Linked DNA regions of Schizosaccharomyces pombe. The protein of the gene in region 1 interacts with the protein of each later gene in a pairwise test. Each region holds a gene or a part of one and is shown on either strand. Other genes may lie near its edges. The genes, in order: sec18 and mug24.

Region 1 (15,208 bases):
ACATACCTAAATTGCCTAGGTTTGTACCAGTTCCTTCTGAATTTTTTAAAAAAAACCAGCGATCATGGGTTACTTTAAAGAAGCATCGTTTGCTAGCTAGATTGAAGTCTCGAATTAGCAAAAAGAATTCTAAAGTGAACGAGAATTTGAGATTCTCGCTAAATGATGGTGAAAATTATTCAAATGAAACTATTACTCTAAAGAAGGATGAAATTGTTTTAGATAAATCAAAATCATATGCCTGTTGCACTTCTGAATCTCACAAGTATGTGCAAGGGCATTGTGGTGGTCAAGCGCCTCCTTTTCCCTTACTAAAGGTTATAATTGATTCTATACCGGTTCATGTGTTTACTGCGGATCCGGGAAGTGGAAAACTCACATGGGTTAATAGAAAAACTCTTCTTTACTGTGGTTTAAATATGAATGAGCAAATAGAGCTACAATTTAGTCGAATTCATCCTGATGATCTGCCAAACTTTTTAAATGACTGGAAATCTTCATTATTCTCTGGTAGTGGTTTTTATCATGAAATTCGTTTGCAAAGGTTTGATAATGTTTATCGATACTTTATCTGTCGCGCGGTTCCTTTACGGGATTGCACTGGATCTGTGCTACATTTTTTTGGAACAATGACGGATGTCCATGATCAAAAGTTGGCAGAACGAGAACTACAAAAACAATCAGCTATAGCCGCAAATGAAAACAGCTACAGGTCTTTAGCTGAAGCTTCTCCTCAAATTGTTTTTGCCGCAAATGGTAAAAATGGAATTATTTATGCAAATGCGCAGTGGTTAAGTTATTCAGGTCTTTCACTGGAATCTTCATTGGGACTTGGGTTTTTATCTGCTGTATATCACGCTGATCGCAAGAAATGTTTATTGCCTGAATCTTTGGAGGGAACGTTTAATAACCAAGACGAAAGTAATGGTACCAAAACGTTTGCGGCGGAGATACGTTTTAGATCTACCGATGGTCATTATAGATGGCATTTGGTGAAATCTGTTTGCGTAAATAATTCTGCTGATACGTCTACTAATCTCTGGTTAGGAACTTGTACTGATATTCACGATCATAAAATGTTGGAAGAAAAGCTCCAAGAATCTAACATTGAAGCTCAAAGAATTGTTCGGAGCAAAATGCAGTATCTTTCCAATATGTCTCATGAAATTCGAACCCCTCTTATCGGTATTACAGGCATGGTAAGCTTCTTGTTGGAAACTCAAATGTCTGCCGAACAGCTGAGTTATGCACGTATTATTCAGCAATCAGCTAAGTCTCTTTTGACTGTTATCAATGATATTTTGGACCTTAGTAAAGTCAGAGCTGGAATGATGAAGCTAACTAGCCAACGCTTTTCTGTACGAGCTATGATGGAAGATGCAAACGAAACTCTAGGTACCCTCGCTTTTTCAAAGGGAATAGAATTGAACTACACGGTTGACATTGATGTTCCTGATATAGTATTTGGGGATAATATGAGAATGAGGCAAGTTGCTTTGAATGTGATCGGAAATGCTATTAAATTTACGAATGTTGGTGAAGTTTTTACTCGTTGTTCCGTTGAAAAGATTGATTACTCAACCAATACTGTTGTTTTAAAGTGGGAATGCATTGATACCGGTCAAGGGTTTAACAGAGATGATCAATTACAAATGTTTAAACCGTTTTCTCAAGTAGAGAGTTCTACATTACCAAGACATGGTGGCTCAGGTCTTGGATTAGTTATTTCAAAAGAGCTTGTTGAGCTACATAATGGTAGTATGTCCTGTCAAAGTAGAAGAGGCGTGGGAACGCGCTTTATGTGGACTGCAACGTTTACAATGGATAAAACTCCTCTAAAATTTGAACCCCCAGATGGTTGTTGTCCAGTCTGTTTTTGTCCATACGAAAAAAGCAAACAAAGCACAGAAGACTATTATTGCGCAGACGATGGAAACGATAAAAGCGCGACGAATTTTGTAAAATTGGCCGTAAATAAAGCAGATCCCGGAAGAGAAAGCAACCGACGTAAACTTGAATCGGACAAAAATGTTCAATCCAACAAATATGTGAATCCTTTCGCTTCTGAATCGGAATTTTGTCGATGCGGCGCATCTGCTGATCCATACACAGTTCTATTTTGGAGACTCTATAGAAACAAACCTTCTGGGATCAAGTTGGATAAAAGTGCTTTAGCCGTTGTTGTATCACACACTAAATACAGTAGTGAAGCGATTGGCAACATGCTTCAATCAATTATCGATATAAGCTCATTTAAAGATATCGTAAGGTATGGAAATACCTATGAAGCCTTTGAAGAATTGCTAGAGAATCCTATGCAATCCAAGGTCACCCATATTATATTAAATCTTCCGGACATAGAAGCATATGTTTTATTTGTCAAATCACTGCAACTTTGTAGTCTATACAAGGATACAAAATTTATTTTGGTGACTTCCACTCGACAAAAAGAATCATTATCTAAGATTTTTTCAGATAGCGAGGATTGTAATTCGGAAAGCATCCATTACGTTTTAAAACTTGTGAAACCATCCAAGTTTTTTCCATTATTTTATTCTGATTCTGAGGAAAAGGGGAAAATCGGTGCACTTAATGATATGACTCGAAAGGCTGCAATGGAGCAGAAGGCTGATGCTGAAACACTCCGATATAATCTGGCAAAGTCTGGCTTTAGCGTGTTGTTGGCGGAAGACAACATTATCAATATTAAGGTTATAAGCCGTTACCTTGAAAGAATTGGTGTCAAATTCAAGGTCACCATGGACGGTTTGCAATGTGTTGAAGAATGGAAACGTGAAAAGCCTAATTTTTACTCTCTTATTCTAATGGATTTACAAATGCCTGTTATGGATGGTTACCAGGCATGTAATGAAATTCGTAAATACGAATTGGAAAACGATTACCCTAAAGTTCCTATAGTTGCACTTAGTGCGAATGCTTTACCTCATGTTGTTTTAAGCTGCAAAGATAGTGGTTTTGATTCTTACCTTGCCAAACCTATTACTTTGCAACACTTGTCCTTAATCATATCTGGCATACTTAATTATACGAACCAATCAAAGTTACACAAATGATTTGATATTTAATCTTCACTCACTTTTGCTTGTATTTTTAGAAAGGATCTCACTGTTTTAATGCTTTTATTTTTACTTTATATTTTTTCTTTGTTTTGATCAAAAGCTTATTTAGTGCCTATATTTATTTAAATTGACAACTTCTTATTTTGAATATTTTCCAAAATAATAATTATCTAAGCATCTCATATTTTATTTTATTAACTTTTTAATGCATTTATATTTCCAGCGCCCAGAACCAGTATAATAATATTAAATATCACATATTCCCCTTGTTTAATGTAATGTGTATTTTATTGGCAAGTTAAAAAAAAAATTGTATTGTGTGCTAATCAATCAGTTTTGAAATACAAACCAAATTAAAGTATAGGAAGCAGTCAAATAATCAATTCGAGGATACATTCTCATTGTTAAATGCAAACTTTAGGTAATTCGTAATTAGCTCTTGTAGCTCAGTGGTAGAGCGCTTGCCTAGTAAGCAAGAGGCCCAGTGTTCAAGTCACTGCTGGAGCAAATTTTTTCCCTTACCATAAGCGTAAATTATGCTACACTTCACTATGCATCACTACATATATTTGTTCACTGTGTAGACAGGATTTTTATTCTAATTCCAAGGGGAATGCTATAAGCCAGTCCAGAAAGAAAAAACAAGTTCTTGGTTGGTATCAATACCTTTCGTCGTACAAAGTATATTTAGTTCAATTACTGGCTTTGCCTACAACCGATTAGATAATGCATCAATACTTATACTACGTTATATAGTATTACTATTTTACATGTCAGCAATACTACACTAGCTACATGTAAGCTACGCAGTTTGGTATCTGATTTAAGGATACGTAGAACTGCGGTGAGTTTTCCTTGTGGTCTATTATATTACAATACACAGGTTGTATAAGTAGCAACTGAGTATAGGTATTGTATTAACTGGGTTATAATGTTACCTATCACTAATATAGCTCATAACTGAACTGAGGAACGAGGTTCAGTTGTAACGCTATTTATAATATTTCTAAATAGTTGTTATCAACGGGTATCTATGTATATAGACGGATAGTTACCCGTGATTATCAATAAACGGATCTTAGCTAGTATTCCAACATATGACATATAGTGATACGCAACGTAATGTATCATAGCGTAGTGTAGTATTGCTGACACTACAGTTGTGCAACACTCACTGTATGCCATATGTTAGGATTTTAGTTCAATCCGTGTATTGATAATTGCCGATAACCACCCTTTTATTAATTTAAATAGACTCCCACTGTTATGAACCATTAAAAAGATTATAATGAAGCCACCACTAAACCTCGTTCCTTAGCCCAACTATAAACTATTTTACTAATAGGTTACATTGTAACCCCAAATTTAGAATATCTTTAACGAGTTGCTACTTATTTTCCTGTACTACTGTATAAGTCGCAAGGAAAACTCACTGCAGTTTTTCGTATCGTTAAAATAGTTATTAAACTGCGTAGCTGGCAATTAAAAAATCACTGCGTTAAATGTTGAAGGTGATGAAAACTCGACTAACGAAATTTCTGTAAAGTAAGTTACTTCCCTTACCTACCTTGGCAATGCCTGCTTTATTAAAAATAAATAAAAAGAAGAATGGACAGACTAAAATAGACAGACTGTTTAGCAAAAGGAGAAAGACTTCTTTAGCAATTGAAAAAAACCACTCTAAAGCATCTATGTGTACTGGTCAATCACCATTAAACATCATTTCGTACAATGTTCCTCCATTGATTGTATTAAGAAACAAAACGATACGAAACTCTATAGAAGTTTTAGTTGAGGAAATGTTTCGTGACATTCAAATGCGCCAGCAAACGAATGTTTTAGTTGCACAGTGTCCGCGAATGATTGTGGAAACACAGTTGATAGGCTTATTTCAATCAAACTATACCAGTGTTGCTGAAGAGTTAGAACAATCTATACGTACAGGAGACATCCGTCGTCTTTACCTAAATAGATCTGACAAGTTCTGTGGTGAGTCTTGCTTAATTTTGCGACCTGAGTTTGATAAATTATTTACATACTATTTGTGCAAGTTCAAAGATCAGGAACATATTTATACGCTAATCTTTAAGTTGCATAAACTATTGATTGAAAATCCACTACCTTCCTACACATCCGAGGAGTTGAAATTTAATTGGGAGGAACGACGACTGCTGATTAGTATGGGCTTTCTTATTCTTGCTGGCACTGACTCTTACGGAATCTCATTACCCAACCTTGGCATTTTTACTCATATTTTGCGTAACAGCAGAAACGACTTGTCAAATTATTTAAAAAAGAGGCCGTACCGCGAAGTAATTGAATCGTCACTATATAATCGCAATGTTTCGGTAGCTTGCAAAAAGAAGAACGAAGCATTTTTTGGTTGGAAGTTTCGACTTTGCGACGCCATAGGAGCCGGACTGGTTGATTCGTTTATGACTACTTGTGGAAGAGCATTCCGTTTAACTAAAAAAGGACTTGAAATGAAGTTTTAAAACACTGTCGTCAGATAATTCACACATATTCGAGAACAATCGGATACGGTACTATTTATTCATATCATACACTTTCATTAATCAATCTTTACCATTTTTTTCCTCCCTTTTTTATTCAAAAGATGAGCATTATTTTATTCGTTCTACATTTCAAACTCGATTAAGACCTAAATTACAATACATTGAATTTTATATTAAAAAACTTATATAGTTATTATGATATCTATTTCGAATCGTTTTTGTTTATTTGCTTAGGTTGCTGTGCCTGCCGTATAGCATTAAAAATTGGCGTAGCCAATTCTGGGTGCAAGTAAAAATATCGTTTGGGTACAGTAGTGCTTTCAAGGTTTGCGAATGGACGACTATTGTTGGTATCAGGGATTTTGAGCTTGTCTAAAGTATATTGGGATAAGCGCTTTTTTCCTAGAATATTAAATGTATTTAAAGATAGCACGTTTCCCTTTAACGTTGCCTCCGAAACATAAGATTTAGCAGCCCAGTGAATTATTGCAGTCGACAAACTAGTAGTAGTACATGCTAACATGTTAATAAATTTGCTTTGGAAATTTTGGTAATCCGATTTCTTGATGAAACATACCCAAGAAAACCATCGACATTCTCGTTCCCAAACTTAAACCTCCTGCATCAAGTAAAAGCATCACTGGAGAAATCATATAAGTTAAACCTAATGATCCAATCGAAAACTTTTTAATGTTTCCTATAGCTTTTTTAAGTGGAGCATCATATACAGCTGCTAGACTAAATGATGTTGAAGCAAACCAGCGTCTTGCACCAAGTAGTATTTCGGAGGGCATATTCATTTTAGAATTAAGTATGTGAGTTGAATGTTACGATTTTTAAATTTCCATGTCCTTTACTATTTATGACTGATGAAATTAAAGATTTAGAATATGAACCGGGTCAATGTGGAGTGGAAATAGCGAATTGGTAAATTGTGCCTCTCAGTATGGGAGTAATGTAGTATGCTTAAATTGTTTACAATGCTTCAAATGATTATTTATGGATAATTGACTATAAAAGGCTATAAAGTTATATTGATAAGCATTCATTTAACAAGATGATTTAATTTTTTTAACGTTACATATAGGTTCGAACATCTTTTAACTTAATATTCATACAGTATTGCGGTGTATTCATTAACTATAATCTATAACGGTATAAAATATAAAAAACCTTGAGAAAATATTCATGACTAAAACGTCTCAGTTATTAAAAAGGTGTCATTGCTATTCCATAGGAATAGCACGGGCCATGGCTTCAACAAAACAGGAAACAACGTCTACATCCTGTTTAGCCGTTTCGGCTATCATAAGAATCTTGGCTACTCCGACATTGACAGCATCAGTACCAGTAAAGTTCTGCAAACGTTGTAATGTATCAGCTCGAACATTGCTGTCTGCAAATGAATCTATTGATTGTATGATGCGGTCCAGTTCAGTAACGTTGGAGACATTAGGAACTGCTATTTCTGCATCAAACGATTGGGTCATATCCATTCGAGAGAGCATAGTACGTTCAGAGGTAGTTGCTAAAATAAGCAATCGATGACCCTTGGGGGGTTGCTTTTTGAAAAGAACCATAAGTGTTTGAAGTAAGGTGTTAGAAAATCGAGGTCCGATTGGTACCCAATCAATAATACGTTCAATCTCATCTACTACAATGACGCTAAGAGGACTTTTGTAGCTGTCTTCGAACACACGATTGACATGAGCTACTCGAGCGTTTTCATTCATTCCTACCATGGACTCAGCGGAAACGAGCTTAACAAATGGAAATTCAGAACCAAGGGCTATCGTGGCAGCCAATGCAGTTTTCCCTGACGCTATAGGGCCTGACAATAATACACTGACCAAACGTGTACGTTCGGAGTTTTTAACTTGTTGAACAAATAATTTTCCTTCGGTAATTATTTCTTCAATGTGTTTACCAAAATTGATAATGCCACCTTGCACACGGCTTTCGAGTTCCTCCTCACTCACACCATAAGCTGGTCTTACCTCACTTAAAGCATTCAAAAAGTCGTTACGATTCACCTTGATATTTTCCAAATTACCTGAAACAGCGGCAGTGGTTCCCACCTTGATGTGGCGATAAAAAGCAAAACTTGAAGCACTCTTGATTAATCCAGCAATTTCAGCACCAGAAAAGTTTTTAGTAAGAGATGCTAGCTCTTCCATGTCAACATCATTCTCTAAAATACCATTTGAAGCCATACGGGACGTATGGATTTTCAGAATCTGCAAACGGCCGTGTTCATCTGGAAGTGAAATTTCCATATGAACCTCAAGACGACCTGGACGCAAAAGAGCTTCATCGATCATGTCTTTTCTGTTAGTCATACCAATAACAAGGATATTATTCAGTTGATCAACGCCATCCATCTTAGCCAAAAGCTGATTAACGACCTGATCGCCAACACCTGTATCACCACCAGAACTTCCTCTCTTTTTACATATGGCATCTAATTCATCGAAGATAATAATATGAAGACCCGATTCCTCTCCGCGATCGCGATACTCACGTTCAGCATCGGCGAATAATTTACGAACGTTTTCTTCACTTTGACCGACGTATTTGTTTAGAATTTCAGGACCATTAACGATTTTCGGTTCACGGGCATTTAGCATTTTACCAATTTGTCGAGCAATTAATGTCTTACCAGTACCTGGAGGGCCATATAAGAGAATACCCTTAACATGATTAATACCCAGCTTTTCAACCATGCCAGGAGGAAAGAGACGAGAGGCAAATGCTCGACGGAAAATAGCACTGAACTCTGAGTCAAGACCACCAATGCCCATGTCCTCAAATTTAAAGCCTGGCTGAAGAATGGCATTAGAGGCAGGTCTTGTCATGCTAGCTTTCAAACGCAACGCAGAGTGAGCGGCTTTAAAAAATTGGATTTCGGTCTGGGAAGTCAAGAGACCACGTTTGCTGGTATCTGCAGTATTTTCGGCATCTTGATTCTCACCAATTAAAAGATCGACACAAGATATAGTACGGACGGTTGCCTTTATATTGTAAGAACGGAAATCGAAAACAATTTTCTGGCCCGGAGAAAAAACTTGGCTCTGATAACTAGAGCAAAATAACTTGGCCATCTCTTCACCGTCGAAAGGCTCATTAGTGGTGCGATTTCTATTTTGAAAGTCTACCTCCAAAGTCATACTATGAAGATAAGGAGCTCCATGAGGACCATATGGATCATAGTCGGCAACATGAACCTGCTGATTTAGCGACCAAGAAGCCCATTCGCGATGGGGCTGGGAAGCGCCAAGACAACCCTGTGGAAAGCCAGGAACGGGTTTAGTGCTGAACACACGAGAGTTGTCTACAATAATGTACTGCTGCTTAAAGTCCATGGGAGAAACAATGATACAATTGGTTAAAGCATCTTCGGTAGAAGTCGCCTTGACGATCCGAAAAGGACCTGAAGGGCGTCTAACATCCATATGTGTAGGCAGCGGTGGTTTTTGCTCAAAGGGGCTCATATTGGGTGTAGGACCAGCACTGTTATGGGAATAACTGCCACTTAGTGGTTTCCTCATAGGTTGCTCTGGTGTCCCTTTATTGGACATGAATGGAAGTTTCCATCTTGAGTCCATTGTTGAGTGCTTTGTTAATGGAAAATCGTTTTCAGTAAACGTAACGCTTTCCACCTACTACTAAAACATAATATAACGGAGTACGAAATACAGATTAGCGAATAGTGAAGTATACGTTTACCGTTTGATTGCGTAATCATAATTAAGCCATAAATTTCCAATGTCGTTATATTTTAGGACGAGATGTAGTGAAGCCATGTTACTTCCCAATTTACATTTGGCAAAAAAATTTTTTTCTCTCTCTTCTTGCAAAAGCCTCTTTACGCGTGCAATTATTGTAGCATGCAAGTGACTATTTTTTTAGCAGCCTTCTAAGATAGGAAAACTGTTTCCAATAAGACAAACCTTCTTGCAGACTGTTGTTGTCGTTTATTGAAGGGATTTCCCCTCCCCCTTTTGTATATTTATATATTTTATTTTATTTATAAATTTATTTTATTCATTATTAAACGTATAATAACGTCAAAAAATTTTATGTGTCATGAGTGATAATGTCTTCGCTTTAAGAATCGGTAGCTTAATGACATCCGTATTGGAAAGATCTCGCTTCTTGTTTAGCTTAGCTATACGACCGCTATAGACGTTGCCGCTTGACGCTAATTGCCGAGATTCGCATCATTCTTTTGAGCTTCACTTTACTAACCGAATACGGGTGATCATCCACTCAAAATATTAAATAAATAAGAAATAAAAAAAAAGTGTTACTTAAAAAAGAGTGTGTTTGGAGGAAGTGTTAGCAAGTTTTGATAGTAGGAGTAGAAAAAAAAATTTTCAGCGCCTCGTCTCCTTAAAAAATTTACACACCTTTCTAATGAATGTTATTGAGGCAAAGTCTTGAATTTTGATTTCCATTTCATCAATGATTAGCGTACCGAGTTTTTGCTGTCGTATAAACGGCCATTGATTTGCTAATGTCACCTTTTTCACATAACGAAACGGATTTCTGTCATACTGTCACAAATTTTTCAATTGGCATGATAACGGTAAATAGACCAAAATCTAGGATTCGCGAATGTTCAAACGCGATTATTAGGGAATGGAATTTTATTCGATATCTCACCTGAGTCACTGTTATTGTCACAAGTGAAGCCAGCCATTTCTTGAATCTGATTGAGGAGAAAGTGAGGTAAGATGGGATGGAGTGTTGATGACTTGGAAGGAAGGTCCCTTACAAATGATTATTTGTTCTTTTACAGGCAAACTAGTTATCCCGAGCTACACTGTCCTAACGTTATCCGCAATTCATTCTTACAAAGCTAAGGGAAACGGGGGCAAAGACTGAGTAAGGCGGCAGCGCACTTGCAAGTTTCGCAGGTACTTTAGCTATCCCCACCTCCCCTGATGTTGGCAGTGACTCGGATATTCTAGGCCTGCTTAGAAAGTGGTCATTTTCAGATTTCAGATTCAATACGCTTGCTCTTTTTGACACATAAGTTACTTCAAGTACCAATCGTCTGGCGAATATCATATGGTATATAGAAAATCGACCTTAATTTCATAAACTTTCGGCTTTTCCCACCCTTATCGAAGCTAGCTTGTGAAGGAGCCAATTATATTGTATTTCTCTCCTGGTTCACGCCTTATGATTTATCATTTTTCTAAATTGGTAGTGTAGTTATTTAATATATTTTTTGATATATATAAGCTGGGTTGAGGAAACAAGCTTCGCTCTCAAAATTTGGTGAGCAAAGCAAAGCCAAGCCAAGCCAAGCAGAATAGAGCAGAAACGAGACGGGGCAAAAAGCAAAAGTTGCTTGGAGCATAAGTAGAAACACTTATTGGCAAAACTATATAAGAAAAATATCTAAGCCGAGCTGCGAAATAATTCCGTTTCATGACTGGAATTTTTTTCTTGTAAACGAGCAATTCTTCGAGGGCAACGTGCTTGTGTTTATTTGCCCATGCTGTCATTGAGGACTCCTGGGTTTCAAGGTAAGCTAAATAAAGGGAAGCGAAGCAAGACAAAATATTATATGGTACTAGTACTAGCGATAGTACAACTGCTTGAGAAAAATACAAATAAAATGAACGAATATTACCGAACTATAACTAAACTAAATTCAAATGATGTAGAAATACGAAATTTTGTTATTACTGAATATTTTCTTTATTTTGTTTATATTTTATTTTATTTTGTTTTGTTTTGTTTTGTTTCCTTTTAATTTTCCTTCCTTTTTATTGGAAAAAAAAAAAGAAAACAAAACAAAATAAATATCTTGGAATGCATAATTGTACATCGTTACTAACAATATTCGCTAGGTGAAAGTGTTCAATTCTCTCCACTTGTCGAAAACAAGATCGCTGTTGCAGCTGTCACCCATTATGGATTAGGCGGAAGCGGACGTCTTTATATTCATGATGTTACGCCAAAAGGAATTCAAGTTTGCCAACAGTAAGTAATTGTGCGATTACTGCTCTTCATTATTAGACTTTTGCACAAAACACTTTTAACCATTAGTTATTATGATGAAAACAGTCTCTAAATCCTACGAAATGAAATTTATCTAACGTTAAATACTAGCTATGATGTCGAGGATTCTTTGTTTGGTGTGCGCTGGTCTCAGAATTGTGAAAATCAAGTCTACGCTTGCTGTGGTGATGGTTCTTTGAGACTATTTGATTTGACTATGCCCTCTAAGCCCATCCATAAATGGAAAGAGCATAAAGCGGAGATTGTCGCAATAGACACAAATACGGTTGATCGAAGAATTGTAGTTACGGGCTCCTGGGATGGGACTATCAAATTATGGTTAGGCAATTTGCCTAACAGTGTGCAGACGCTCAACAATGGTTCGAATTCAAGGATTCTTACAGTTGCTACACATTATAGCTCTCCAAATTTACTCGGGTATACATCAAGTGATGGATTATGCAAATTTTGGGATTTCCGGTCTTCCGATAAATTTATGTCCATTGAAATACCGAATCAAATTACTTGCATGAATTGGAGCAAGTCTAATCATCGTATGGTTTACACGGCCGACAATAACAATCTGGTTTACTGTTACGATATCGCGAATTTAAAGACGCCTCTGTCCGTATTGTCTGGTCACCAACTTGCTGTTCGAAGTATAAAATCGTCCAATTCCGCCCATGATCTTTTGGCTACAGCAAGTTACGATATGACTTCTCGAATTTTTGACCCGGAACAGCACTCTTGCATAAGAAAAGTTGATTTGCATTCTGAATTTGTCCGTGATGTTGATTGGAGTGATTTCGGCGATGGATCTTGGATTGCAAGTGTTGGTTGGGACGAATCTTTGTATATATGGAACGCATTTTAAGTTGCTGCTGTTTTTAATTTAAGATTTTATTACACTGATTCAAAGACGAAATGTTCGAACGCTCGGAATAAATTCGTTGTGCACATGTTCACCTTGGATTATATCACCAGAAAACAGCGATTACAAATTATTTTTACGATAGTTTAGGTAGCTCAAGTGAAAAATTTAGTAACTAGAGTAATTATAATATGATTTTTGGCATTTGGCATAAAATGAGAAAGGGTTGTTTGCAATGCCTACAAAAATTTCTTTTTTTTGTAACTACTATTGCGTAGCTTTGACTTGTATATTAATGCGCTATTGTTTAGGAAATATAAAGCGACTCAAAGTGCTTTACCTTCCTTTGTACTGACCACCTGGTAATTTCCTCCATGATCCACCACCAGTAACGTTTATTTATTAATGTTCATCAAGAGATCCGATTACGCCTCTGCTTACTTGAAAATTAAAGAAGCAAGTGTATCTGGTGGATGCACAGTTCAGCTCTTTGTTGCTTTAGACCCAGACGCGCTTTGTGCATGCAAGCTATTGTCCACACTTTTGAAAGGCGATTTTATTTCACATAAAATTAGGCCTGTATCGGGCTATCGAGACCTTGAACAAGCAAATAAAACTTTGCTAGAGCAAAATGAAGATATCAAATTCATTATACTTTTGAATTGTGGAACGATGGTGGATCTAAATAATTATCTTGTTTCTATGGAAGACGTATCTATCTATGTAATTGATTCTCATAGGCCGCATAATCTAAATAATATATACATTGAAAACAATATTTTTGTTTTCGACGATGGAGATATTGAAGAAGACATGAATAAAATTCATGATGCTTGGTATGCATTTAATTCGCATGAGCTATCAGATGAAGAAAATTCCGATTCCAGTAATGAGCGAGAGGAGGAAGTCGAAGATGACAACCGATCTGTGGAATCTTACAGCTCATCCGATTATCAAGCACGAAGTCGTAGGCGTTTTTCAGAGGAAACGACGCAACGTCGAGCTGAAATTAAGGAGAAAAGGAAAAAACGGAAAGAGTTCGCCTCTATCCTTTCTGAATATTATGAGAAAGGAAGTTGGTACGGCGAGTCAATTACCAATATCCTGTTTGCAGTAGCATCCATGCTTGGACGTGAGGATAATGACATGTTGTGGTTAGCGATTGTTGGGCTCACCTGCTTGGAAATTCACTGCCAATCCTCAAAAAAATACTTCAATAGGTCCTATTCTTTATTGAAAGATGAAGTCAATCGCTTGAACCCTTCACCACTTGAAAATCAAATAGTCGGTCGCGCACATGGTAAGACACCCCATGATCAGTCAATTCGGCTTGAAGATGAATTTCGTTTTATGCTAGTAAGACATTGGAGTCTTTATGATTCTATGCTTCATTCTGCTTACGTTGGTTCGAGACTTCACATTTGGAGCGAGGAAGGACGCAAACGACTACATAAGCTTCTTGCAAAAATGGGACTCAGTCTGGTGGAGTGTAAACAAACTTATATTCACATGAACATGGATTTAAAAAAAACTTTGAAAAGTAGTCTTAAAAGATTTGCACCGTTTTATGGTTTAGACGATGTGATATTCCATAGTTTTACTCGGACTTATGGATTCAAATGTACACTTAGTGCAAGTGACGTTTCTTATGCTATCAGTGCATTATTAGAAATGGGTAATACAGGTGTTTTGCTTCAAAGCAAAACTGTCGCTCGAAGCCCGGATATGACGGAGGAAGAATATTTGGAGAAGTTTGAAAATGCTCAAAATCAAGAATGGTTGCACAATTTTTATGATGCATACGACGCCTTGGACGATGTCGATTCATTAGAAAGAGCATTGAAGTTAGCAATGCACTTACAAAGAGCCATTGTTCGTACTGGAATCACCTTACTTGAAAAAAGAGCCATTAAAACGTTGAGATCTTTTCGTTTTGGACTTATCAACGAAGGACCAGATCTGAAAATATTTATGCATCCCCTTGCGTTAACAAAGATGAGTCTTTGGATTGCTGAAGCTATTAATGTAAGTGTCTATTGATTTTAACGTTTGACTAACACTTGAAGGAGCAAGAACGAGAATTTGGAAAGCTTAGACATCTTCCTCTTGTTTTAGCAGCTTTTGTAGAGGAAAAAAATAGGTACTTAATAGTTGGAACTTCTACTTCCGCTTTTACTAGCAATGAAGATGACGATGATGACGACGGTCATGGACACAATCGTTTTGGAGTTGCATTTCAAGAGGTTGCAAACATGACATCTGCTACTTTGCAAATGGACTGTTTTGAAGCAAGTGTGATTGAGTGTCAAAAAAGTGACCTCGGGGTTTTTTTAGAAAGTCTGTCCTTCAAAACACTATTATAAAGATTGGGTAAATAATGGGAATTTTGCTAATAAAGAAAATATTAATTCATCTAATTAAAATTACACGTAAATAAGTATGGATATCAACTGATGTAAGAACTATTTTCCACACCAGCAATTGTTTGGCCGTTCAGATTGTATACAAATGTGTTTTAAATTTGGTACAGCGATTGAGAGCTTCCTAAATACTTCATTACGAACCACGTTTAAATCACCGTCTATGCTCACCTGAATATGGAGTATTCCATACACTTCACCTCTTTCGTTTGTCCAGAACTTAGGGTTGGATAAACTGATAACGGAGTTACTTAAACTGATGTTCGACAAACACTGCTTCAATAAATATTCCGATTCTGGATCAGT
Region 2 (16,434 bases), on another chromosome or scaffold:
AAATGGAAAATATCGATCAGACATGTATACCATTAAAAGTCGTTGGGAAATTCCTCATTGTAAAAGGGAAGGAAAAAATACTTATGCTTATATTGAGTTACAACTTTATGAAGTTATGCCCGGGTGTTTTATGCTAGATGTGAAATCTAATGGTTACAAAGATATTTATTCTCATCCTGAACGAACAGCTGATCATGGCATGGATGATCTTAAGTCATCTTTCCCATTTTTAGATTTGTGTGCTATGCTGGTGTGCAAGTTATTTTCTGCATGATTTATTGTAACTCCCCATTTAACACGCTGTTTTCAAGCATCCCTTAATTACCCATTGTTGAACAAATCTACTCAATAGCAAAGACACATTTTATTTTTTTTACCTTTTCTTTTAGCGAATAAGGTTGCATGAAGATACTAGTGTCCGGATTAATTACCGCCATTTTCTGTTGAAACATTTATGAATTGATGAATTTAGTGCCATTGTATTATCAACGGTTTACAGAAGATTTTGGTTTCACTCGTTAAGTATTTATCTTGTTATAACCATAATACATTTGTTGATATGAAATAATCGAATGACTGAATGTTAGGAGTTTATTGAGTCCTTTTACTTTTCATGCGGGTTTTCTCTGATAACTGAAATTTCCCATTTATCTATATGCATGACGATGTTGATTATATATGCTCACCTTTCTTTTAATAATAAAGAAAACCGTTAAGAAAAAAAAAATTTATACGTTTATGTTAATGTAAACGAGAATCAAATCAAAGACTAGTTAATATGCAATTTTTTTTTGCAATTTAAGAACGACTTGCAGCTGCGACATCGAGGAACTAGTCCATAAAGAGTATTATTTTCCTTTATCTTTACTTTAATTCAAATACAAACCAATTCTATTTAAAATACTATGCTAGCTTGTTTGTAATTAGTTGAACTTTATGAAGAAAGCAATTCCCCCCCCCCCCTTTTTTTTTTAAAAAAAAAATTGTTAAAACATCTGTACATCAAATTTTGCAAATTTCTTTTCATAAAGAATGTCAATAGAAATGTCAACTTTAGTGTGATAAAGAAAAAAGCTAATAAAGAAAGTTATAGACACAAAATGTGAATTATGAAACGAGAACAAATGATTGGTATTCTTAATTTTTGTATGTCTCAATATTTAAATTATTTGAAAATCCTACTATATATTCCTCAAAATTTGTAGAAGGTATTTTCATTCATTTTGTCTAAAGGATTCATACATTCCACAGTTAGTATATAGATTAATTTGTTCCATTCTGCAAAAAATAAATAAAAATACTCCGTTCATAGAACTGGTGCACAGCTTACTCTCAAAAAAAAAAAACAATGTATAAATTATGTTTACTATCTAATAACAGACGTTAATATGAAGACCGGTTAATGTATGAGGAAAAAGAGATGGGTTCAAAATCACAAGAGAATGAAGAAAAAAATAAGAGTATAATATCCTTTTATTCTTAATTTTTTCTAACGGAATTCGTGAAAAGATTGATCCGATCTAAAAACGGTGAATCATTTTGTTTACAGCTGGAAAGCCATTTGGCATACCAAGTCCCACACGCCAAAAATGCTTCTTAAGTCTTCTATTATTGTCAATATAATTAAAAAATTAAAAATCTACTAAAATTATATTTTTTTATTTAGTTTTAACTATTAATATACACGATGGTGTAGCGAAGGGTTTAGAGAACTCCAACGAATTTCACAAAGTTGCATGTTCAGTTTCCTTACTTGAATAGTAGTCGACGTTGATCCTTTCTCAGCGTATATCCTCAGGAAACGATTAAATCGGCACAGTGCGAATTTCTGAAAGGTTCAATTTATTCGGAGTATTACTTTGAACCTCTTTGATATTTAATTAATGGATAATTGGAATTCCGTGCGAAATGTGTCGAGTGATAGACAAACAAGTAAAACGTCAGAAAATCCTCCACATACTTCCAATGAGTATAGTGGAAAACCGGAATTTATTAATCTGAGTCCTGATTTAGAAGAAAACTTAGATGAAAAGTTAATGAGTGCTTTCCCTGGTATGCAGGCTATTAAAGCGGGGATAGAGAGTTGGTCAATAATTTGAAATATTTGCCTCTACGGGCTGTAGCGAGTGATGTCTTGATTGCTTGTTCTCTCTTTTTTCTCTGCTATTTTTGATCCTTTCTCTTAGAATTCTACTAATTGTTGCCCTTAGGCTTAGAACCTCATGTGTTTCAACACTCCCAGTCACCTCTGTCACATAAAGATGCTTCATTGTTAGCTACAATGCCTTCAGGTATATTTTCTTTTGTTTATTCATTCTTTTTATTTTTATCTCTACTATACTGAGTTTTCCTATGTTCTCAATTTTTCTTTTTCTTTTTTGATTCGTTCAATTTGCTAATATTTATCTTAGTTGCCTCATCCAATCCATCACTCATATCTTCTGGATCTTCGCAAACTGGCTCCCCATCACAATCCTTGTCCTCTAATAAGGAACCAAGTTCTCCTGGCATTTCTCCTTCCAATGACTCTCAATCACAAAATACTAATCATACCTCTATCTCAGCCAATCCATATGTTAATAATCCAAGTCATACTTCAAGGAATCCGGATTCAGGATCTTCGTAAGTTTATTTTGCCTTAAAAATTTATTTATGACTAACGAAGCGCCTTAGTTTAAATACCGCCTCCCATGAAGTACCATCATCAAAATCAGACGTGAACGTTCAAATGCTTGCACGATTAAAATCTAAATCTCGTCAAAAAATTTCTTCCTCTGATCCGTTAGAAGATTTGCGCCTTACTCTGACTGAGTGTTTAAACCCAATTAACATCGTCCAAGCTCCAAAAGAATGTGCTGCAATCCTTGTTAATCTCATGAGCAATATCACCCAAGATGATCAAAAATTAGTTTTTCTAGATCTTCTTAAAAGCAAAGTGGGGAATAGTATTTATAGCCAACTTGTTGACGGCGGTCGTAAATTGTTCCTTCCTAAACTACGTAACTGGTTTGTATCAGCTATTCGTTCTAAACACGACGAACTCATTCATTTAATACTGCTCGTGCTAGCTAATCTTCCTCTTACGACTGAGAAGCTAGCTGAGGTTAAGTTTGGCAAACCAATTTTAATCGTAAAAAAAAAGTCTACCAATTCCGTTATACGCCAGCTTGCTGAAAATCTTTCTGAACTGGCCGAGAAAAGTTTTACTATTGAACAAAATAGAGAAAATGAGAAGAGCTCTACGAAGAACGATTCGACTGTTTCATCTTCCGCAGTCGTTATGGCCCCGGCTGGTCCGGCGATGGCCCCGTCTGCGTCTAATAAACCAAGCGCTTCCTCAACTACTAAATCAAGCAATTCGAAATCTAAAAAAAAGGTAACCAGCATATCGGGAACATCCTTCTTTAAAAATTTAGCAAGCTCTACAAAACCAACTTCGGCCTCCTCTTCAACAAAAGCGCCTTTGACAAAACAGCAAACCAACCCTTCTACTCCTCTTTCCTCTATCATGGCTGGCTTGAAAGGACGGGAGAAGGAAAAGGACAAGGATTCTGGAATAAGTTCAGAAAATGTTAGTAATAATCGTGAGGAATTGCCCAGCTTCAGGAAGCGTTCCTCTTCGTCGAGGCAAAGTGAGGAGATTGCATCTTTACAAGCTGAGAATGCAGTGTTCAGTAGTGATCCTGCTTCTAATGATGAGAAAACAGGAAACAAAAAGAGAAAGAAGAAGTCCGTTTCATGGAAGCCCGATAACGATCTTGTTCAAGTCAAATTTATTGAATCTCTTAATGAGGAAGGTGCCGCGTCAGTCAAAACACCACACATCTATGGAAATGCTAGGGATATGGACAGACAGGAAGCTCGTGTAGCGTTTGGTAGCCACGTTGAAGACGATGTAGAAAACGAAATTATTTGGTACAAACCAGTTCCTATAAAATTTGAAATTTCTAAAGATGAAATCCATCCTCGTGGATACAAATGTGGAGGGAATGAACGGAATTTGACCCCGGAAGCCACTAGCGAAATAGAACGTGAGAAGAATGAAAGTAAGGATATCTCCACTTTTAACATTATTTTGGATTTGCCTGTTATTCGAGAATTCGATGATTCTCGTCCTCCTGCTCACATCAAGCTAGTCTCGTCTGACACTCAAGCAACAACTGAATTGGGATTTAATGGTTTAGTGCAGCAAGTTTCTGAAAATAACACGAATGCATACTCAGCTACTTCGAATTCGCAATTAAGTTCAATTTTTTCTAATTTGTCATCTTCTATATCAGATGCTTCATCAAACGTTTTACAAAATCCATCTCTTTCGATACCAAATTACTCGAATGCTATATAAACTGAAGATTTTCACAACTTACATATTTTAAGCCATGTCTAACTTAAGTTATAACTGAGAATCTTATGAATTATATGTTTTTGAAATTTTTTTTTGTTAATTTTTTTTTTTTTTTTTTTGTTTGAGTTTTAGAACAGCAATTACATTTTCTTTTTTCTGTTCCCTCAGCTCTTGGTCTGAAAGTATATGTCGTTTACAAATAACCGCGATTTGCGTATAATGAACATTGATGCTTTCCAAATTTTCAATACGATGATGGACTACACAAATTCGACAAAAAAGTCATGTATCAAATTAAGAGTAAATCATTTATTTCATACAATATTGGCTGAACAAACATGATGGCCAAAAAATAAAACTAAATAATTTTTTAAGATAGAGAAGCCATTTCTTCCATAAATTCAGATGGCGATAATATGTCGGTACTACCGTATATGATACGCTTCTTAGGATTTTGTTCACGCGCCCAATCAGCCAGATTACCATATTCTAAATAATTACCACCTCCTAGTACGCAAACAATTGCTTCACTAAAAGTCTGTCTTTTGTTCATGGCCCTAGGATCATTGTTTACAGTAATAGCACGAGCTGATTTGGGATCTAATAATAGATAAGACTCTGTTTGTTTGGAGGCAGGAGAAGAGCCAGGGTCCATTAGACTCTGAACAATAGATGTAATAGTCCCATCCTTCCTGAAGGGAATCAGATTTCTAACCCCCGAAATAATATTTTCAAGGCCACCAATACCGGCTTCTTTAAAGCGGTCGGTAAACTAAAAACAATTAATATGTGCTTTAAGGTGAAAAAGTGTCAAACTATTCTTACCCTTGTGGAAAGACTGCTAAATCCACGAAATAAATTATCTCCTGTTTGACCCGTAGCTGGTCTTGTGGTAGAAGATGCTAACATGGTCATTTTAGTTATTTCACGAACCCTAATATAAGTTAGAAAAAACCAATAACATCAATCAGTATACCTCTTAACAAAATTTAATGCTTCTAATGTACAGCCATTGTTAACCAACGCCTCTTCATATGCCTGCAAATCAGAAGCCGGTACGGAATCAACACTTAAATACCAAATTATAAAAAATCGTAGCTTGTCTTCGGGAGTTCCTTGTTCCTTGTTATTGATGCAAGCGAGAATGGCACTTCTGTTTAGTCCAGTTATATTATCTTCTAACTGAAAAAAGTCATCTAAATGGCGCTCTTGAATAGCTTTTAATAATGCAGTTGCTATATTCATATGCATGTCAAGGATTTGTTTACGAGCTGTAAGCTCTGGGAGCAAGCTAACTGCACTTTTTAAATAAGTCGAATCAGCAAATGCGTCAACATTAACTTCTTCAAGTGAAGAAACACCGGATTTTCGGGTAATTTCACTAGCATCATTTTTATATCGAGTCAACTCTTCATCAATGTTTTCGGCAACTTTAGGAAATGGTTTGCTAGCATTACTTTCCCAGAAAAAATCATTTCCATCTAAATCGTAAAACCGCTTTGTCATTTTTCCATCATCGACTGACTCTACGGTAATCCTATTGAGTTGCATATTTAGGGTATCATGAATCAAAGCTTGGTAAGTCCAAGAATGATTTATCATTGGAATCAAATCGACCGTTCTATCCAGTAAAATAAGAATTGGCCTTGGTTTTGGATTAACAGAAACAAAAGCATCCTTGGTATTCATTAAATGGTCCTTTAGACGTTGATTCAACTTTTGGGCAACCATCTCAGCAGCCGATCCTTGTGGGCAACGAATGATAGGAATGGTTCCGAGTGTAACGATCACTGAAAAGAGACCATTTACAATATCCTGAACGCGTGAATTAATGAGAGCCTCATCTGAAGACGGGTTATGGAACGTATGAAAGATTTTGGGCAGTTGAAGAGAAAAAAAATCACTTTCTAACACAACATAATTAAGATACTGGTCATACACTTGATGAATCATGTGACTTGTATTTGTTTTCGACGCCAATTCGGCAAACTGTTCCAGAAGAGCACGAGAAATGGTAGATGAAAAACAGACATAGGCTGATTCGTAAAGACCCTTCGAAAGATCCTTTAAAATATGTTAGCTTGCTGAACTGTAATACAAAAAAGTATTTGGTATCCGACAATAAGATTAATTGATTGAAAATTATGATACTGAGAAATCCATACCTCTATTATTAGCTCAATGTTTTCTTGAGTAGGTTGAACAAAGTAAATAGCTGGGACATCAGCAATAGGCTGACGAAACGAAGTGATATTCATGTGAACCGTAACGCCATGTTTTCTGAGATCACTAATTCTGAGAACAGAAGAAATAGTCTCCGACCCTGCCTTATCGAAGATTAAAACTTTCCAAATGGGAAAATTAGAGGCATGTTGAGGGCTTGATTCAAGTTCGTTGACGTCTTGGTTCAAATTAAGCAGTTTTTCTAAAGATTCTAAAGGTTCATATTAGCAATGCTTACTGAGAATTATACAGTTTTATTAGCAACACTACTTACGAATTTGAGCTTCTCTCAAAGAAGACGGTGTTTTTACAGATGCAATAGACATCGTGCCAATTCCAACTTTGGCACTAATATAAGCACTTAGAAGGATGATTTGTGTTGAGGGATAAACATAAGAATCATACCCTTCATATGGTGGTGTATGGCAGTGAAGCGAGTCTCGCTAAATGTTCAAAAAGGTAAACAACAAAATAAATATTGAGGTTTGGCTGTTTTACCAAATCTTGTAGTCTTCAATCTTTACTAAAGATTTCTGATTTTCATTAAATTTTTAGATATTTAAAAAAACAGTACTAGTGCACCGGAAACATTCAAAGCGTAGGAAGGAAATCAATCTTGCGTTCAGTAGTTTACTTTTCTAAGATTTAATCTCAGCTTTCTAACTGTGCTTACATTACATATATTTCTAAGAGGTGTTCTTACTTTACTATTTACTTATAAAGATACAATTATTAAAAGAGTATCCAAACGCAAAAAGCTCTTAATTATGAATTTAGCCATTAATGATTTGCATATTCTAAGTGTCTAGGATCATATACGATGGCTAAAGTTGCTCATGGGATCAAATAAGTAGAAGGCATGTCTTCGTTTATTTTTTTAGACTGAATTAAACAAAATATGAAATTATTCATTGATCATTATGATGATAATGATACCGTAGACCTAATCATCGTAATAGTAATTAATTAACAGCAATGATGGATGGAAAATATAATTAAACAATGTATTGATGGAAGGAATTGGGCAAAGTAAACCGAAAATATGACAAAGAAGGTGTCGGACTCGAATAATGATAATGATAAAACAAAAATCTCAAAAAAAACGGAATAAGGACAAGGATAGTGATGACAAAATGAAATGACAGAACGATTATGATAACAAAAAACGGTAGTAAGCAAAGTGTTGGGAGTAACGTCAATAATTGAGCTTTGAAAGAAAAGAAAATGGTGAGTACGTTAATCCTAGAATAGTAAAAGCAAGAATAAGCGATAAATATGGAAGCTCAAGAAAAAAATAAAATTAGTGTGATCAAGCTGAATGCTATCAAGAAAGCAAATGGTAAACGAACTGGTGATGGGGTCGATGGAATGATAGAATGAAGATAGTCAATTAATTGGTTGTGAACAAAGGATAATAGTGATCATGACGAGGAACAATAACAATGATTCTGGAAAGCTGAGCTGTAATCAAACGGGAGAAATAGTAAAGAATTCGTCAGTGGATAGTACAATGATAATGTGTATAAGTGAGAATAGTTGGTTTAATGATAGCAAGCTGGAAAAATGCAAAATTGGCTGGTGGGTTAGCTTAAAACCGGCATCAACGGAAACAGTAGCAAATGGGAAAATATTGTGGTAATAGTAAAAAATGGATAATGGTAAATGAACAAACTACCCATGAAGTAACGGATCGAGAAGGGTTCATGAATTCATCAGCAAGAAGTAAGTAATCTTTAATAGGTAAGAAAAGTAAAAGTTCACAGACCGGCTTCTCTTAGTGATAGAAGAATGGTTTGAAAAACTAATTGACACATTGAATGAATAAAACTCTGCTCAGAAGGTTGAAGGTAATTTTTCTTTAAAGACAAAAAATTACATAATTTAAAAGAAGACATTGGAAATCACGGAAGAGTAGTAATGTGACAAAGCAAAAAAATTTCAAATTTGGGTGGGAAACAATCAAAACGTGTAAAAACGATAAATCAAAAACTTTCAGTAATAAGGTTTAATTAGAGTCAAGAATAAAAAGAGTTTTTTTTCTGAATTTTTTCTTTTTCAATTTTTTTTGGAATTTTAGATTTTTTTAAGGCAATGTTTAGTTAGGTTTGGACAATTTTCAAGTTTTTTTCAGAGGAGTTAGTGTTAAGTTTTTGGGAGTCTCTGTTACAAACTAAATTTGCATGCTGAGTGAATACCCGTAGAATTGAGAATAAGCAAAAATAAATGGAAACATACTGACTTGCTGATGAACAAAAGTTACTTCGCGAGTATTGGAACTAGTCGTTTTCGTGGTCGGATGTTTGAGGATAGTTCGGAACATTGCAGTTGAAAGGAAAAGAGGGAACGGCTGTAAAGGGGATAAAGGGCTGATACTGGATACCAAAATTTAATATTGGATCCGAACCTGGAGGAATTGCTGGACAATAAGCTACAGGATATGAAAACGGTGGAGTAATAAATTGCTGCAATGGAACATTCTGTTGGATAGGAGAGTTGGATTTAGACTTTTGAAGCTCTTGTTCGCATCTATCAGGAGCATAGCGGATTTTGCTCTTCTTGAACAAAGGATGTATAGGCAAGCCATTGACAGCCTTCATGGCATTAGATATATTTGTATAGGCAACGAATCCAGAACTTCTATTTTTTAAATATTTAATTGATTCAATCTCTCCATACTGACGCAGTATGAGCTCTAACTCTTCGGTAGTAAGTGAATCTGATATATGGCTGAAGTAAACATTTCTGGAAGCGCCCATCAATATAGAATCTTCTAAAACTCTGGGCAAAGGTCCACTTTCTTTACCCCATCCTACTTTAATTCTTCGACCGTGTAATAAAACTTCTTCCTCAGCCAAGTAGTCGTGGAAAGCGTTGGCGGCCGAATACGTTATAAATGTAACGAAGCATATATGTTTTTCAGGAATATAGTGGAAGTCTTGTAACCCTCCATGTCGGATTAGATCGCATATTTCATGTCCTTTAGTCTTAGTATGGAGATTGCCAAGGAAGACAGTACGGTTTCCATTGTCTTTTGATTCCTGCTGCCTGCAACGGTCAGACGTGGTATCCGGATTTTGCTTGGAAGTGAAACATGACCTTTCATCAAATGAAGGTGGATGATTTGCACAGCGATCTGAGCCAAAAAATATTCGCCATGAGTGATAGTCAGGATCGCAAGATAAGGTACGAACAACCTTGATTGCGTCGCGGATGTTCAAAAAGTGAACAAAAGCAATATTCTTTTTCGAGAGGATTTTTATGTGCTCAATCTTGCCGAATTTACCAAACGCTTCTTCAATTTCCTTCTCGTGATAAGAAGAAGGAAGATTGCCGATGAACACATTACGGCTGGCCGCAGTGTTCGAGCAAAAATTTTGAATCGATTCAGGTAAAGGAGAAGGTCTAGCAAATGTCAATTTGAGTGGCCTACCATGAAAAATGAATCCACGAGGATGGTACCTTTCATAAAAGAAAAAGGCATCAGCAGAATCAAGAAATGTAATTATAATCCTGCGTTTTCCAGGGTTGGACTGAATCTTCTCTAATGGTCCAGAGTGGATAAGCGAAAGTAATTCGGAAATTTTGTAGTCAACTGGCAAGTTACCAAGGATTAAAGCACGAAAATCTAACAAGGATTCGTATTCTGAATTGAATGGTGAAAATTGCTCCGCAGGTTGTTGGGCAAACGGAGGAGGAGTACCTTCTCGAGGTAGGAAATTTGGACGGTTTACAGGTTTTGCATGATACATATTGTCGGTATAGTGGGCATAGGGCATCGGTATGAAGGTGTTTGCTGAAACATACATGTTGGGGTAATAGGTTGAAGGTGGAGAAGGATAAATGACTGAAGAAGAGTCCTGGTCAAAATGAGGATAACAAGGAGAATCGAGTTGTTCGGGAGGGGGATTCATTGATTTAGGAGCATACCCATTATGAGATTTCGGAATAAATTCTGCGGCATTGATGTTTACATGGAAAGAAGGATTAGGTGAAAGATTTTTGTGCTTTTTACCACCACAGTCAAGGTTGGTACATTCATTATTGTCCACTGAATTAAGACTACTGTTATCATCTTCTGAATCATTTAAAGTGCAAATGCTGTTGGCCGTGCCAGTACTTCCTGTCTCTTGAAAGCAGCAATCACTATCAACGAAGTGACCGTTGTTTGCTTGGTCTTTTTCAAGAACACGGTCGGTCTCAACTTCACTTCCGGCACAGCCAATTTTGTGCATAATAGCCATTATAGTGTTAAAAAAAAAGAATTGAGTGAGAATATGGATGCTTCAAAATATAGAGTGCTTTAGACTGATGAGTTTCGCTTCAAAATTAGTATCGATTTAAATGCTGTATTCGATGGTCAAAACTGGTGAGAGGGACACTTATTTATAGATAAAAAAAATCATATCGTGTCAAGTTTTCGTAACAGCTAAGCACCATTTCAAATGTAAACATTGCTATTTTCGCAAGCATTCCCCGCAAAGCTGTCCCACATTTCTTAAATAGAAGGACGAATCAAAAGGCACAAAGTTGCAACTCTAAAACGTCAGGATGGCCCACAAACGACGAATGCGACGGTAAATCCGCTGCCACTCTTCGCTAAAGTCGACGTAATGTACTTATTTTAGCGAGGCTTAATAGTTAAAATTACTTACGTCCAATCATAGTTGTCCCTTTAAGTTATTCGGTTCTTATTATGACTGCACAGTGACTACCACCAATTCCTCGCGAATAGTACAGTCATGATAAAGGGCTGGTAGACAGCCATTTCTAAGCCTTGAAATTACCTTTAATAAAAACCTCGAGAGCCAATAGACTTTTTGGGTGCAAGATTTACGATTAGCCAGCCTTCCCCCGCCTTTTAAACTGCCAGAGCAAAATTAAGAGTAGATAGGTATCCCCCATATCCCTTATACCGAGCAATGCAAATACTGATCCAAGGCAACAATACCATCAACCTTACGAAGAGTACTCAAAAATATTGTTAAAGAATTACGTATACTGTGTTAGATGCTTCAAATTGCCCGTCCACTTCTAGCATGATTGTTGCTGTTTTGAAGTTATCGACATTGTGGTTCATAAGGTTTTAGCTTCATAAAGCCTATTATATAATGTGATGCGTTTCGTTAGATAGTAAAAAAGTTCGGCTAGGGCTATACTTAATGCTTATTCATAAATTGGTGTAGACTGTATTCTGTCACAATGATGTACGTTGAGGCTTGATCTGATAAAAAAATTTGGAAAGAAAATAACGATGTCAGTAAGTTAAAAGTAGTTAAATTTGAAGTTCTTCTGAATATTTCAACCATTAATTAAAAATATTAATTTTAAAAAATAGAAGTCTTTAATGAGTTTATCATTTCTAGGCCGTTAGCGAAAGTCAGAGTTTGAAGGTGTGTTATGCAATTAAATATTGTAACTTTTGCTTGAAAGCCTCTTCAAATAAAAAGGATTTGTTACGTGTTTCTTTAAAACTTTTCGAAGGTTCCAGATACTAGGTTATTGCATTCAAGCTCATCAATTTTAGATTTGTATACCCAACATTGCCAGTCAACATCAAGTTCAGCCGCCTTTTATCTATATTTTAAGAAGACCCTTTACAAGTTGTTACTATGCCGTTGAAATTTGTAAAGCTTTCAATACAAGTAAGTACATTATTTGTTCCTCTATCGTGGCCGATGAAGGATGTATGCCTTAAGCTACGATCTTGTAAGGAGGTTAAGACTCTTAACAAAAAAAAAAGTTGAAACAAAATATACAAAATTCATACTGATTTTCTGCTTTCGAAAGGCTCCGTAAGTGGGGTAGTTTGGTACCGTATAGGAGGTATTCTTACCTCACCATTGTCACTCTTAACCTCTACACCACTTAACCTCAGTCAAACCAAATTAGCAATTGAAGCAGTAACAATTTAAAATTATCAAGTTACTTTTACCTAAAGTTTTATTAATCAAACTGGCATTTCTTTTTTGATTTTTTTGTAATGGTTCTACGTTACAACAGCCCACGCCTCAATATTCTTGAGCTGGTCCTTCTATATGTCGGATTTTTTAGTATTGGGTCCTTGAACTTACTGCAGAAAAGGAAAGCTACTTCTGATCCTTATCGTAGGAAAAATCGCTTCGGCAAAGAACCTATAGGAATAATTTCCTGGTGGATATTGGGAATTGCATTAACCTACGTACGTATTTCAAGCATTTTTCTTAAAAAATATATATATATATATATATAAGTATATTTTGAAAGAAAAATGTTTATGTTTAATTGTTTAACCTCGCTTCATATTGCTAATTTCATTTTTAGGTCGTTGATATCAGCAATCTTGTCATCTACGCATTGCGAGTTCCAAATTGGTGGCCCTGTAAAACCACTGTTGTCTGTTTAATTCTCTTCCTTTTATTTTGGATAATTGTACTTATCTCATGCGCAGATTCTAAAGCTCTTCCAAAAAATGCGGATTCCATACTAAAGGCCTACCGCCTTAGCGTCTTGTACGTTTGGGCTATAGACATTGTATTTGAAACAATTTTCATTGTCTACAGTCCTCATCCAAATGAAACATTTCAAGGAATTGTATTGGCGGACCATGTAGCCCGATTGGTCTTATGTGTTTTCGCTACAGCTATATATCTAACTTATAGACGAAAGAGACATACGCACGATCCCCTGGATTTTGAGGAGCGTCAATTAACAGAAGAGTCAAACGTTAATGAGAATGCTATCTCTCAAAATCCCTCGACCGTTCAGCTCGGTGTATCGGCATCAACCTCGAATTTTGGTACACTCAAATCAACATCGAAAAAACCTAGTGATAAATCTTGGGCAGAATATTTCCGTTCTTTCTCTACTTTACTTCCCTATCTCTGGCCGACAAAAGATTACCGACTTCAGTTTCAGATTTTCATTTGCATAGTTTTACTCTTTTTGGGGCGAGCTGTTAACATACTTGCTCCCCGACAACTGGGTGTGTTAACTGAAAAGCTCACAAAACATAGTGAGAAAATTCCTTGGTCTGATGTTATTCTATTCGTTATCTATCGTTTTTTGCAAGGAAATATGGGAGTAATTGGTTCTCTTCGATCTTTCTTATGGGTTCCTGTCTCTCAATATGCTTATAGAGCGATATCAACTAAGGCTTTGAGACATGTTCTAAACCTGTCATACGATTTTCATTTGAATAAACGTGCTGGTGAGGTTTTGACCGCCTTAACTAAAGGAAGTTCGTTGAATACGTTTGCAGAACAAGTTGTGTTTCAGATTGGGCCTGTTTTGTTGGATTTGGGAGTAGCCATGGTATACTTTTTTATTAAGTTTGACATTTATTTTACGCTTATTGTGTTAATTATGACACTTTGTTACTGTTACGTTACGGTCAAAATTACATCTTGGCGTACCGAGGCTAGAAGAAAGATGGTTAATAGCTGGCGCGAGAGTTATGCTGTGCAAAATGACGCGATTATGAATTTCGAAACCGTTAAAAATTTTGATGCAGATGACTTTGAAAATGAACGATACGGTCATGCTGTGGATATTTATCTTAAGCAAGAGCGGAAGGTACTATTTAGCCTTAATTTTTTAAATATCGTTCAAGGTGGAATATTTACATTCAGCTTGGCAATTGCTTGTCTATTAAGTGCTTATAGAGTAACATTCGGCTTTAACACTGTCGGTGATTTTGTCATACTTTTGACATACATGATTCAGCTACAGCAGCCTCTTAATTTTTTCGGAACTTTATATCGTTCATTGCAAAATAGCATCATCGATACAGAAAGACTACTTGAAATTTTTGAGGAGAAACCTACTGTGGTGGAGAAACCAAATGCCCCAGATCTTAAAGTCACTCAAGGTAAGGTAATATTCTCTCATGTTTCATTTGCATATGATCCACGAAAACCTGTTTTATCAGATATCAATTTTGTTGCACAACCAGGAAAAGTTATTGCGTTAGTGGGAGAATCAGGTGGTGGGAAATCTACAATTATGAGAATTCTTTTACGATTCTTCGATGTCAACTCGGGATCCATAACCATTGATGATCAAGACATACGAAATGTTACGTTGTCTAGTCTTCGATCTTCAATAGGTGTAGTTCCCCAAGATAGTACCCTTTTTAATGATACTATTCTTTACAATATTAAATATGCTAAACCTTCTGCGACCAATGAGGAGATTTATGCTGCTGCTAAGGCTGCTCAAATTCACGATCGTATATTACAATTCCCAGATGGTTATAATTCTCGTGTCGGAGAAAGAGGCTTAAAGTTAAGCGGTGGTGAAAAACAACGTGTAGCAGTTGCCAGAGCTATCTTAAAAGATCCTTCAATTATCCTTCTCGATGAAGCTACTTCTGCTCTGGACACAAATACTGAGCGACAAATCCAGGCAGCCTTGAATAGACTTGCATCTGGCCGAACTGCTATAGTAATCGCTCACAGGCTCTCCACCATCACCAATGCAGACTTAATTCTTTGTATTTCGAATGGTAGAATCGTTGAGACTGGCACACACGAAGAGTTAATAAAGCGTGACGGCGGAGCTTACAAAAAAATGTGGTTTCAACAAGCAATGGGAAAAACTTCTGCTGAAACTCATTAATCTAAGCATAATAACAAGCCTTTACTAATTTTGGTAGTTATGACTAATTTAAAAGGAGAATTAAAATACACTAACTTTGATTGTGAGTAATGCTGCTCCTTTCACAGAAACATTATGGTACTAAAAATTTTATCACTAAATTCCATACCAATGAATTTCTATTATTAATTAATTTATTAAATCGTAGTATGTATAAGTACCAAAAATAATCCCAAAACCTAACCCGATTATTTTTTTCTGCAAGTCTTAACTGCAAAGCTTTTGTACAATTTAAGTATTACTCATCTGCTGAAACCATTGACGAAGTGCAGAAGACAAAAGTTGCGGCAATTCTTCGATGTTACGAACCACCAAATAGTAATCAAAAGCAAACTCATCTATATATGGCTGAATTTTTAAATCCATAGTACCATCTTCTTTAGTGTCGTAGTAAACCTTTTTAATATCAAGGATGGACGACTTTTTCTGGGTGTTAACATTGTCAAGAATAACAAACACAATCATCACTTTTTCTTCTTGAGCACGCCTTAGCAGTTTCCGAATGCTATCATGATCTTCACAAATACCGTCTGAAATTATGATTTCTAACTGCCTTATGTCCGAGTTAGATCTATGATGGGAAGCCGTATTGGCATAGTTAAAGCATTTCATAGAAGCATCGGCGAGAGCCAAAACATTGGTATTACTTTGCTCAAATGTAAAATGCGAAAACATTTGTACACCACTTTCAGATGAAAACTGTTTGTCGAAAGGATGCAACAATTCAGGTTGCTCCCCAAATTTCATCACTGCAATTTGTCCAACTTCAAGTAATGATAATGCTTTTGTTACCAAAGCTAAAGTCTCTAACGCTAGAACTGTGCTGCCCGACTCACTCATCGACTTAGAATCATCAATGGAAATCATCACTTGATACGTCCTTTTACTAGGTTTAACACGACGCATCCATATCTTGTCTTTCTTGAACTGAGAAGCAATATATGGGATGATTCGTTTCATATTCAACCGTTTACCCGTACGAAAGTCTCCTTGCATCTTAGTGGCCAAGGTTGGTTCTAATATCAATCGAAGCTGTTCACATAACTCAATAGAAAGTTGCTTTGTAGAGTCCTCGTGTTTATTCCATAAATCACGAGCTTCATCAATGGGCATTGCAGCAGGAAGGTTAGTAATCTTCACATTATAATCAGGAAGTTCATCTTCAATATCCTCATCCTCCGATAATTCAAAAACCTTCTCAGACTGGTTGATAGACCCAAATTCCGTTGGAA

Evidence for each region.
Region 2: the proteins of sec18 (region 1) and mug24 interact in a two-hybrid assay, tested with the Schizosaccharomyces pombe proteins (one large-scale study listed by BioGRID).

The regions. Positions count from the first base shown.
Region 1 is NC_003424.3:4,711,916-4,727,123, forward strand, and holds sec18 (secretory pathway protein Sec18), read right to left. Parts: upstream 9,221-15,208; 5' UTR 9,202-9,220; coding exon 6,823-9,201; 3' UTR 6,598-6,822; downstream 1-6,597. Other genes in the region: phosphorelay sensor kinase Mak1, read left to right, coding at 1-3,074; mug51 (variant protein kinase 19 family protein), read left to right, coding at 4,655-5,575; SPOM_SPAC1834.10C (uncharacterized protein), read right to left, coding at 5,799-6,112, 6,174-6,396; SPOM_SPAC1834.13 (uncharacterized protein), read right to left, coding at 10,433-10,669; pex7 (peroxin-7), read left to right, coding at 11,103-11,133, 11,461-11,593, 11,723-12,485; DNA replication pre-initiation complex subunit Cdc45, read left to right, coding at 12,888-14,507, 14,549-14,845; Golgi zinc importer, CDF family, Cis4, read right to left, coding at 14,945-15,208. UniProt on the Schizosaccharomyces pombe protein: Required for vesicle-mediated transport. Catalyzes the fusion of transport vesicles within the Golgi cisternae. Is also required for transport from the endoplasmic reticulum to the Golgi stack.
Region 2 is NC_003421.2:1,913,657-1,930,090, reverse strand, and holds mug24 (rrm type RNA-binding protein), read right to left. Parts: upstream 10,810-16,434; coding exon 8,845-10,809; 3' UTR 7,358-8,844; downstream 1-7,357. Other genes in the region: serine/threonine protein kinase AMPK catalytic (alpha) subunit Ssp2, read left to right, coding at 1-274; ppn1 (cleavage and polyadenylation specificity factor complex-associated protein), read left to right, coding at 1,884-2,052, 2,211-2,291, 2,412-2,622, 2,674-4,345; SNARE-binding protein Sly1, read right to left, coding at 4,716-5,117, 5,171-5,279, 5,322-6,409, 6,511-6,779, 6,843-6,894; vacuolar phytochelatin and glutathione S-conjugate ABC family transmembrane transporter Hmt1, read left to right, coding at 12,549-12,746, 12,869-15,163; mdn1 (midasin), read right to left, coding at 15,434-16,434. UniProt on the Schizosaccharomyces pombe protein: Has a role in meiosis.